2 linked regions of the Caenorhabditis elegans genome follow. The protein of the gene in region 1 purifies or fractionates together with the protein of each later gene. This does not show direct contact. Each region holds a gene or a part of one and is shown on either strand. Other genes may lie near its edges.

What was found. Proteins that work in one complex are often made in the same cells at the same time.
Region 2: the proteins of ksr-2 (region 1) and ndk-1 purify together in Caenorhabditis elegans (affinity purification with western blotting, with the first as the bait; one study listed by BioGRID). This does not show direct contact.

Annotation. Positions count from the first base shown.
Region 1 is NC_003279.8:12,056,795-12,061,556, reverse strand, and holds the start of ksr-2 (Kinase suppressor of Ras B), read left to right. Parts: upstream 1-1,758; 5' UTR 1,759-1,774; coding exon 1,775-1,800; intron 1,801-1,849; coding exon 1,850-1,921; intron 1,922-4,762. Other genes in the region: hrpr-1 (RRM domain-containing protein), read left to right, coding at 1-58, 605-719. UniProt on the Caenorhabditis elegans protein: Probable inactive protein kinase which positively regulates Ras-mediated signaling probably acting at the level of let-60/ras or/and lin-45/raf. In the germline, regulates meiotic progression during oogenesis and mpk-1 (isoform b) phosphorylation.
Region 2 is NC_003279.8:10,552,581-10,555,835, reverse strand, and holds ndk-1 (Nucleoside diphosphate kinase), read left to right. Parts: upstream 1-1,922; 5' UTR 1,923-2,041; coding exon 2,042-2,094; intron 2,095-2,175; coding exon 2,176-2,269; intron 2,270-2,327; coding exon 2,328-2,642; 3' UTR 2,643-2,717; downstream 2,718-3,255. Other genes in the region: cert-1 (Ceramide transfer protein), read right to left, coding at 1-46, 93-407, 776-895, 946-1,111, 1,186-1,199; F25H2.4 (MPN domain-containing protein), read right to left, coding at 2,911-3,079, 3,130-3,255.

The DNA of each region.
Region 1 (4,762 bases):
GAGGAGGAATGGGCGGTGGAGGAGGATTCCGTGGTGGACCACCTGGACGCGGTGGAATGTAAGTTTTGAAGTGTGGTGGAGTGCTGCTGCGCCAGTGGACGGAATTTGTCTAAAAAATTACAAAAAAATTAATTTTGAACTGCCCTTGTTCGATAGAGCGCGCTTGCATTTTTTGTAATTTTTAAAAAATTCGTTTCTCACATTTTCCAATGATTTTTCTGTAAATTTTCACTGGAAATTTGAAGAAAATTTCAAGAAAAATGCAAATTTTTCACTAGAGAGCATCTGTATGGGTACGTAACCATAAAGTTGCCTTATTGTGAAAAATTTGCATTAATCTTGCAAACGTTTCTTCAAATTTCCAATAAAAATACACTGAAAATATAAAAAATCAGTAGAAAATGAGAAAAATAAACTAAAAATGCATTAAAATAAATAAAAAATACAAGCGCGCTCTATTGAACAAGGGTAGTTCAAAATTAATTTTTTGTGTTTTTCAAATCAATTTCCCCCCCCCCCCCCCCCCCCCCCACTGGCGCAGAATTCTCCATATATCTTTATAAAATTGTGCAAGAATAATCCTAATAAATGTCTGAGGTTACAGGGCAAACAGACGCGGTCGAGGAAAGCGCCCGGGAGACGGACGAGGGGGACCAGCATCGAAACGAGACAACGGAAAGCCTGATTTCTCGGCTGACGTCAACATGAGCACTTTCTAAATTGCACCCCCGGCAGAAACTCACTTTTTCTTTGTTTTTTAAATTATTTTTCACTCCCCCCATTTTTTAAAAAATTTTAAACTTTTTCAACCAAAAATTTTGCATTTTGCATTATTTTTCTAAATTTTTTTGTTTCGTTTTTCGAATGGTTTTGATCTCAAAAATCGTTCGACTTTAGAAAGTGGTGCGAAAAATCGAAATTCTATAATTTATATACATATTACCCTCATTTCTTTTTCGAATTTTTTAAAAAATTTTTCCACTCCCTCTCTCTCCTCAACCCAACCCGTTAATCTCTCACGACCTCAAAAAGTGACAAAAACCATTCTGAAAAGTTGTATTTTCTCATTAATTGTAATAGAGATTTTGATATTGAGCTTTGCAAAAAATGGTTTTTAACGTATCTCTCTCTCTCTCTGTTTCTCTATTCCCTTCACCCTCTCCCTCTCTCTCCATTTGAAACCGTTTTATTCCGTTTTTTTTTTCTGTGTCTCGAAATTTTCACCTTTTGCTGTGAAAATTGGACGCACACACAATTTTAAAATAAAATAAAAAAAAATTTCGTTCAAAATTTTTACTCTTTCTTTCGGAAGTTTGCCCAAATTTGATTTCTCTGTTTCAGATCTTTTTTTTCGCAGTTTTCTACAAAAAGCTCGGAGAATTTTGCAATGCGGCAGGGAAAAAAGGGCGGAGCGTCGTTTGCAAGCCTGCGGCGTGGTTTTTTTTGGGATTTTCAGGATTTGGAAAATATAAAATATTTTTGGATTTTTACAAAAAATTAATACTTTTATCCAGTTTTTGTCAGAAAAAAAAAATTAATGTAAAATTTTCGAGCCTCAACCAAAAAATAAATGCCTTTTTCACTCAAAATCTTCAATTTTTTTACAAAAAAATGCAGAAAAAAGTGAATTTTTTCTAAAATAATCGCTGAAAAATCAAAAAAAAACCGCGCCGCAAGTTTGCAAACGTCGCCACGCCCCCGCAACACCTAAATTTCACGATTTTCAAATTTAATTTTTAAATATATCTTTTTTTGCAGGGAGAACCTTCGTCAGATGAGCGATGAAAAGAAGAAAAAGCGGTAGGCCGAGCAGGCACACATTTTCAGGCAATTTAACACCGATTTTCAGCGGATTTTTCAGATACAGCGTGCTGACGACGTCATCGTTCTCATCGTGGCGGAGATCTTCAACGAGTGGAAGGTTAGGCAGAGTTTTTTTTTTGGCTGAAAATTCGAGAGTTTTCGATGTGAAAATGGCCTTTTCCCCAAAAAAATTGTCAATTTTCGCGTTTTCGCCGCGTTTTTTGGCACATTTCCCGTGGAAAATGTGCTTTTTTCGCGAAAAAAAATTCGAAAATTCCGCGATTTTTGAATAAAACAATTGCGAAAATGAAGAAAACTCAATTTTTAACCTGAAAAGCTTGCAAAACTTGGTTTTTGCTCTAAAAATCGCAAATTTCATCCGAAAAACCCCCCAAAAAAAGCAATTATCGCCTTTTCCTCGTATAGCTGTCGTCGTTCCACTTCATCAGTTCTTCTCTCCAATTTTTCCCCGGCTTTTCCGCATTTTTTTCCCAACGAGTTTTACGTTTTTTACTGCTGCTCAGCGGCCGATTTAATTTTAATTTATTACGATTTTCAGTCGTGAAAATAATATGCACAACAGGCAAAAAGATTTATGGATTTTCGAGCGAGTTTTCCTCGAGGAGTACACAAAAGCTGCGTAAATCTACACAGAGGTTTTCCGGCCGTCGAGTTGGCTTTTTCTCATATTTTGGAGAATTTCGTTGTTCCGTAGTTTTCAGCCAGCCGGGGTTCTGGCCTTCCTCATTGAATTTTTCGCGCTCCATTGACAATCCTGTCTGCCGGACAACGCGTGGGAAAGTGTCGTGTACTCCTCACTGACAAATACATTTAGTTTTACAACTAGAATCGAGCCGCAACGCGCCGTAAATCTACCGAGCCAACATGGCCTAGTTCGGCCAAAACTCTTCCATTTCAATTTATGAGGGAAGCATAGAAATCTGTGAGATCGGTTTAATTTTCTAATTTTCAAGAATAAAGAATCTCACGAGATTTGTCTTTTCTGGAAAATGCAATCACAGTTCTGCTTTCCCGCTAGTTTTCTGGAAAATGTCCATTTTCAAGCTTCTCGAGGTTAATTTACGACTTTGTGCTGGCTCACATGAGCTCCTAGAGCCATTTTGGAATATTCAATGGCTCCGTTCGCCTTGGAAGACGAAAAAGAAAAAGGAAAAAATAGAGTGTTCGATTAAATTTTGCCTCCTTCGCCGTTCACATCTACACTCGGGGTCTCAATTTTTCCTCGCTCATTTCATCAAATGGTTGAAGGCTCCCGGAGCCCACCCATTTTGAGCCTAGCTAGCTGAGCACGCCTTTTTTGCTGAAAACGACGAGAGCAGCAGACACACGCACACATTTTTGTGCTCTAAGGCTCAGTCAGCTACACAGCACAACAAGCATAGGTTCGCTTCATTCAAGAACATCAAATTGCATGTGCTTAAATGTGCTGCTCATGCTATTTGCTCATTAGTACCCTTTGGAGACGATTGTGGTACGCGATTGTGAATCGAAGGCGGGGAAGATATGAAAAGTAGGTTTTAACTTGGCTTAGAGCTCTTAGAAGTTGTCCTGAAAGTCCTCTGGTGGCCGTGACGAAGAGAAAATTCGGCCACACTCAGCAAATTGAGACGGTCCAGAGCCGCTCCGTTTGACGGATTCACCCGATTTCGCTTTGATCTTCGAAAAATGCGGGAGGTGAGACGCAGACCTCTCAACTGTTTTTGCATGGTTAAGAGTGTGCTGACGTCACATTTGTTCTGCGAAAAAATTCCCGCATTTTTGTAGATCAAGCTGTATTGGGATAGCCTGACACCATGTACGGATTTTGGCAAACCTACCGTAATCCTTACGGGACATGAATCTTCGGCATCTCGTTTGAAATAGACAATTTTCAACGCGAAAATGGATTTGCTGGAGATTTTTTTCATTAATTCCAAAACTACAGTAGCTTTCCAAAAATTTGTGGAATTCGCATAAAACTGTATGGAAAATGAATAAAATCCAACAGATTTCTCACCGAAATCTTTCAATGTCGATTTACGCAGCTCGTGTACTTCTCGAGGAGTACACGAGAGAACTGCGTGAATCGACACATGGCCGTGGCAGAGGTTTCACAGTGTGAAAGTGCCAGGTTGTCCCATTACGGTTTGATCTACAAATGCGGGAATTTTTTGCCCAAAAAAGTGTGACGTCAGCACGTTCTTAACCATGCTAAATTAGTTGAGAAGTCTGCTTCTAAATTCCCGCATTTTTTGTAGATCAACGTAGATCAAGCCGAAATGAGACACTCTGGCACCACCAACTCGTCGAATTTTTTATTTTGTTTCTCTTATAAATATTTGTGCTCGGCTTCTTCACCTGCTCTGCTCACCCTCTCGGAGCTCAGTTTTGTTGCTCTTGGATACGGAAAACCGCCGGGAATCAAGTGTTGTAGTACTTGAAGTTTTTCGATTATTTTCAGTCATAGATGTCCCGCTGGGGAGGAACACACAAAAATAGCGTCATTAGTATTCCGAATCTGGTAGATTTCACAGCAGGGGGCACGTACATATTTAGCATTATGGGGACAATTGGATGAGTTTCAGTAAAGATTTTGTGGTGGTTTCTGAAAGCAAATTGCCGATTTGCCGGAAATTTTTAATTACGGCAAATTGCCGATTTGCCGGAAATTTACAATTACGGCAGTTTTCCAGTTTGCCGATTTGCCGGAATTTCTCAATTACGGCATCTTGCCGGTTTGCCGGAAATTTTCAATTACGGCAATTTGCCGATTTGCCGGAAATTTTCAGTTACTGCAATTTTCCGGTTTGCCGATTTGCCCGAAATTTTCAGTTACGGCGAATTGCCGATTTGCCGGAAATTTGCAGTTACGGCAGTTCGTCGGTTTGCCAATTAGCCGGAAATTGTCAACTCCGGCAATTTGCCGGTTTTTCGATTTGCCGGAAATTCTCAATTACGG
Region 2 (3,255 bases), 1.5 Mb from region 1:
GTGGTGGAGTGGATGAAGAAGAAGATGGAATGTTTGGTATTACCACCTGAAAATTATTTGATTTAATTCTCAAACTATCAGCAAATTGTTACTTTAGAAGTCTTGACGAGATCCACGATATGATTAATATTAACAATCAATGCTAAATGTGTTGCTTTTACTGATAGAATCGTGGCTTGTGGGACAATACAACTGGCTCCACCTTGTTCCAGAAGTCTTTCGATTGATGTCATCTGATCCTTGCACATAGTTCGGTATGCTTCGAGTTCGGAGAGTTTCGTGGCAAAAAGCTTCGTTGATTCATTATCATCAGATTTTTGATTATTAGTAGCAAGAACTGAGGAAACCGATGGATTACGGGAATGACTTTTAGTGCTAGTCGAGCTATAATCCGAATCGTTTTGTACCTGAAAATTATTGATTTTCCCATTGAAGTTTTAACTTGATTTCTCTGATTCTAAAAGTAGAATTTCGAAGTGAACGATTTTTTATATTTTATAGCCTCGTACTATTCCCGAACTTTCAATTGACTTTTGTGTGCCACCGTCCGTACTATATATTTACACGGGATGACAAAATCAGGTAAAGATCAACAATGGTGTTTTTGATGTAAAAAGGAACATAAGAGAGGTGTTTGAACTATGATCGGAGCATATTTAAACGAAGAATATACAACTTTTTATCTCGTAATTACTCCGAGAGAATCGCTGGGGAAGTAATTTTTTGAAAAAATTATGTTTTAAAAATACCAAATTCAGATTCAGAAAACACTCACTGTTTCCCGGACAACTGATCGCATCCATAGAAGTTTTGACTGTGAATTCTCTGCTTTCAAATACCAGACAACGTTTTCGCCCATAGATATTGAGAATTCGTTTTCATCAAATTCGTGGGCCTAAATTTTTAAATATACAAGAACTTTCTGAGAAATCAATAAAAGCTCACAGCTATTATTGCACTTTTGAGAAATATGCTTCCTCTGCATCCGTGGGATTTTTCGGCTTTTGACAGATAATAAACAAGATTTCCCTCTGTGATTTCAAAGTATCGATCTTGCCATCCATTCACGTAGTTTGTCCATTTTTTCATCACCCCATTCGTGGGAAGGACACTGGAATGAGATAAATTATATTAGAATTTATCATTGAAACAATTTCTGTAATTTAAAATATCTACAAAACTCACACTTCGCTCTCCATCGGCTTCGTTCGCGAATCAGCAGGTGATAAATGATAAGACAGAGGCTCTCTTTCCGAGAGACTTTCCCCGTTTCGATACAGTTTTGCTCTCACTTTGTTCTGCAAACAAAGCTCACGGTTTGGTAGGCAAACAGTTAAATGGTAGTCGATGGCAGAAAAGAAAGAGTATAGACAACCTTACATTTAGTCGATTCTAAACATAGGGCGTCGAAGGTGGCGAATATGGGAGAACCGGTTTCCTTGTACTGCAAATAGTTTTGTGAAGTAGTGTCTGAAACGAAAAAAGAAATTTGCGGAGCCAGGTCATCAAGCATGAAATAAAGTTCGACGCGTAACGAGGCACAATAGTTTAATGGGAATATGCAGAGCGTTTGTGCTTGTTGCATGGAGACACGAAAAGCAGACATAAGTCATAGAACTTGAGACAAAGTGTAATAAACTATTTATGTCACACGCGTTTTTTCAGATATCAAATGCAGCGATTCACTTCTCAATGTGTTTTGACGTTACAGGTGACGTTAAATTCCGATTTTTGTTCAATAATCCCGATGAAATTTCATATGAAGAAAACCAGTTTGACAGAACATAATTCTCGCAAAAGGTTCAATTGGTGTCCAAAAAAATTGGTCGAAAACAGTGGTCAGTAAAGGCGCTCCATTGCAATTCTGGCACAAAGCCAAGAATGCTGCGAGGTCGGGTCTCGCCACGTGCTGAAGTACGGTTACACTCGTTTCATTTGTGTCGGAGTTGATTGAATGGGCGCCGGCGGGTTATTCTTTTCACTTGCGTTCGTCGCTGTCGCCTGTGCTGTTGACACCTGTTCCAAGTTGGATTGTCCGAAAATGAGCAACACTGAGAGAACCTTCATCGCCATCAAGCCTGATGGAGTCCACCGGTTAGTTATCTTTGAAGAAACTTATTCTAGCATCCTCAATGGATTTTAGGATTTTCAAAATCCTAATTTTTTAAATTTCAGTGGTCTCGTCGGAAAGATCATCGCTCGTTTTGAAGAGCGCGGATACAAGCTTGTTGCTCTCAAGCAGATGACCGCCTCCAAGGCCCATCTTGAGGTACGTTTTCACGAAATTACAAAATTTTAGGCCCAACCAGTTAAATTATTATTTTTAGGTTCACTACCAAGACCTCAAGGACAAACCATTCTTCCCATCCCTCATCGAGTACATGAGCTCTGGACCAGTCGTCGCCATGGTCTGGCAAGGACTTGACGTCGTCAAGCAAGGACGTTCCATGCTCGGAGCTACCAACCCACTCGCTTCCGCCCCAGGAACCATCCGCGGAGACTTCTGCATCCAAACCGGACGCAATATCTGCCACGGATCCGATGCCGTTGACTCTGCCAACCGCGAGATTGCTCACTGGTTCAAGCAGGAGGAGATCAACGACTACGCCAGCCCATTCATCAACTCATGGGTCTACGAATAAACTGATTGCTTATGTCTCCCGGTGTTTTCACCGTTTTCGTATCTCTGCTGAATGTTGATAAAGTATTGCTTCCCACCTAAAACATCGTTTTTGTTGACATCTATTCCTGCGCATTCTCTAATGCGTTTTCATGGCAACCAATCCTACACGACTCAGCTGTCATCAAATCTTTTATTCAACCCGAAAACGGAAGGGGATTAAACATATAATATATTCAGATGACTGCAATAAGTTATGAAAACACGAATTAGGATAATAATTTCAGCTTTTAAGCTCTGAATTCCGCCACTTGCACGAGTTTGTTGCTCAGATTTGTGTTATAGAAGTCGAACTCGGGATTGTCCAAATGGTTTTCGAAATCGGAAAGCTCTCGGTACAACTTCTTCTGAATAACAGCTTGAAGGCCACGCAAGAAGTTGGAACCTTGGAAAATCGTTCTGAAATGAATATACTAAATGAATATATAACATCAAATGTTTTTTCCTACTTCGTTTCTTTCCAACTATCTCCATCTTTTTCATATGCCACGAGGCGGTCTTGTTCACAATCTGACACCAGTCTTTCGTTCATCACTTGTACGAGAATCGCTGCCGAAGAGGTAACAGAAGATATT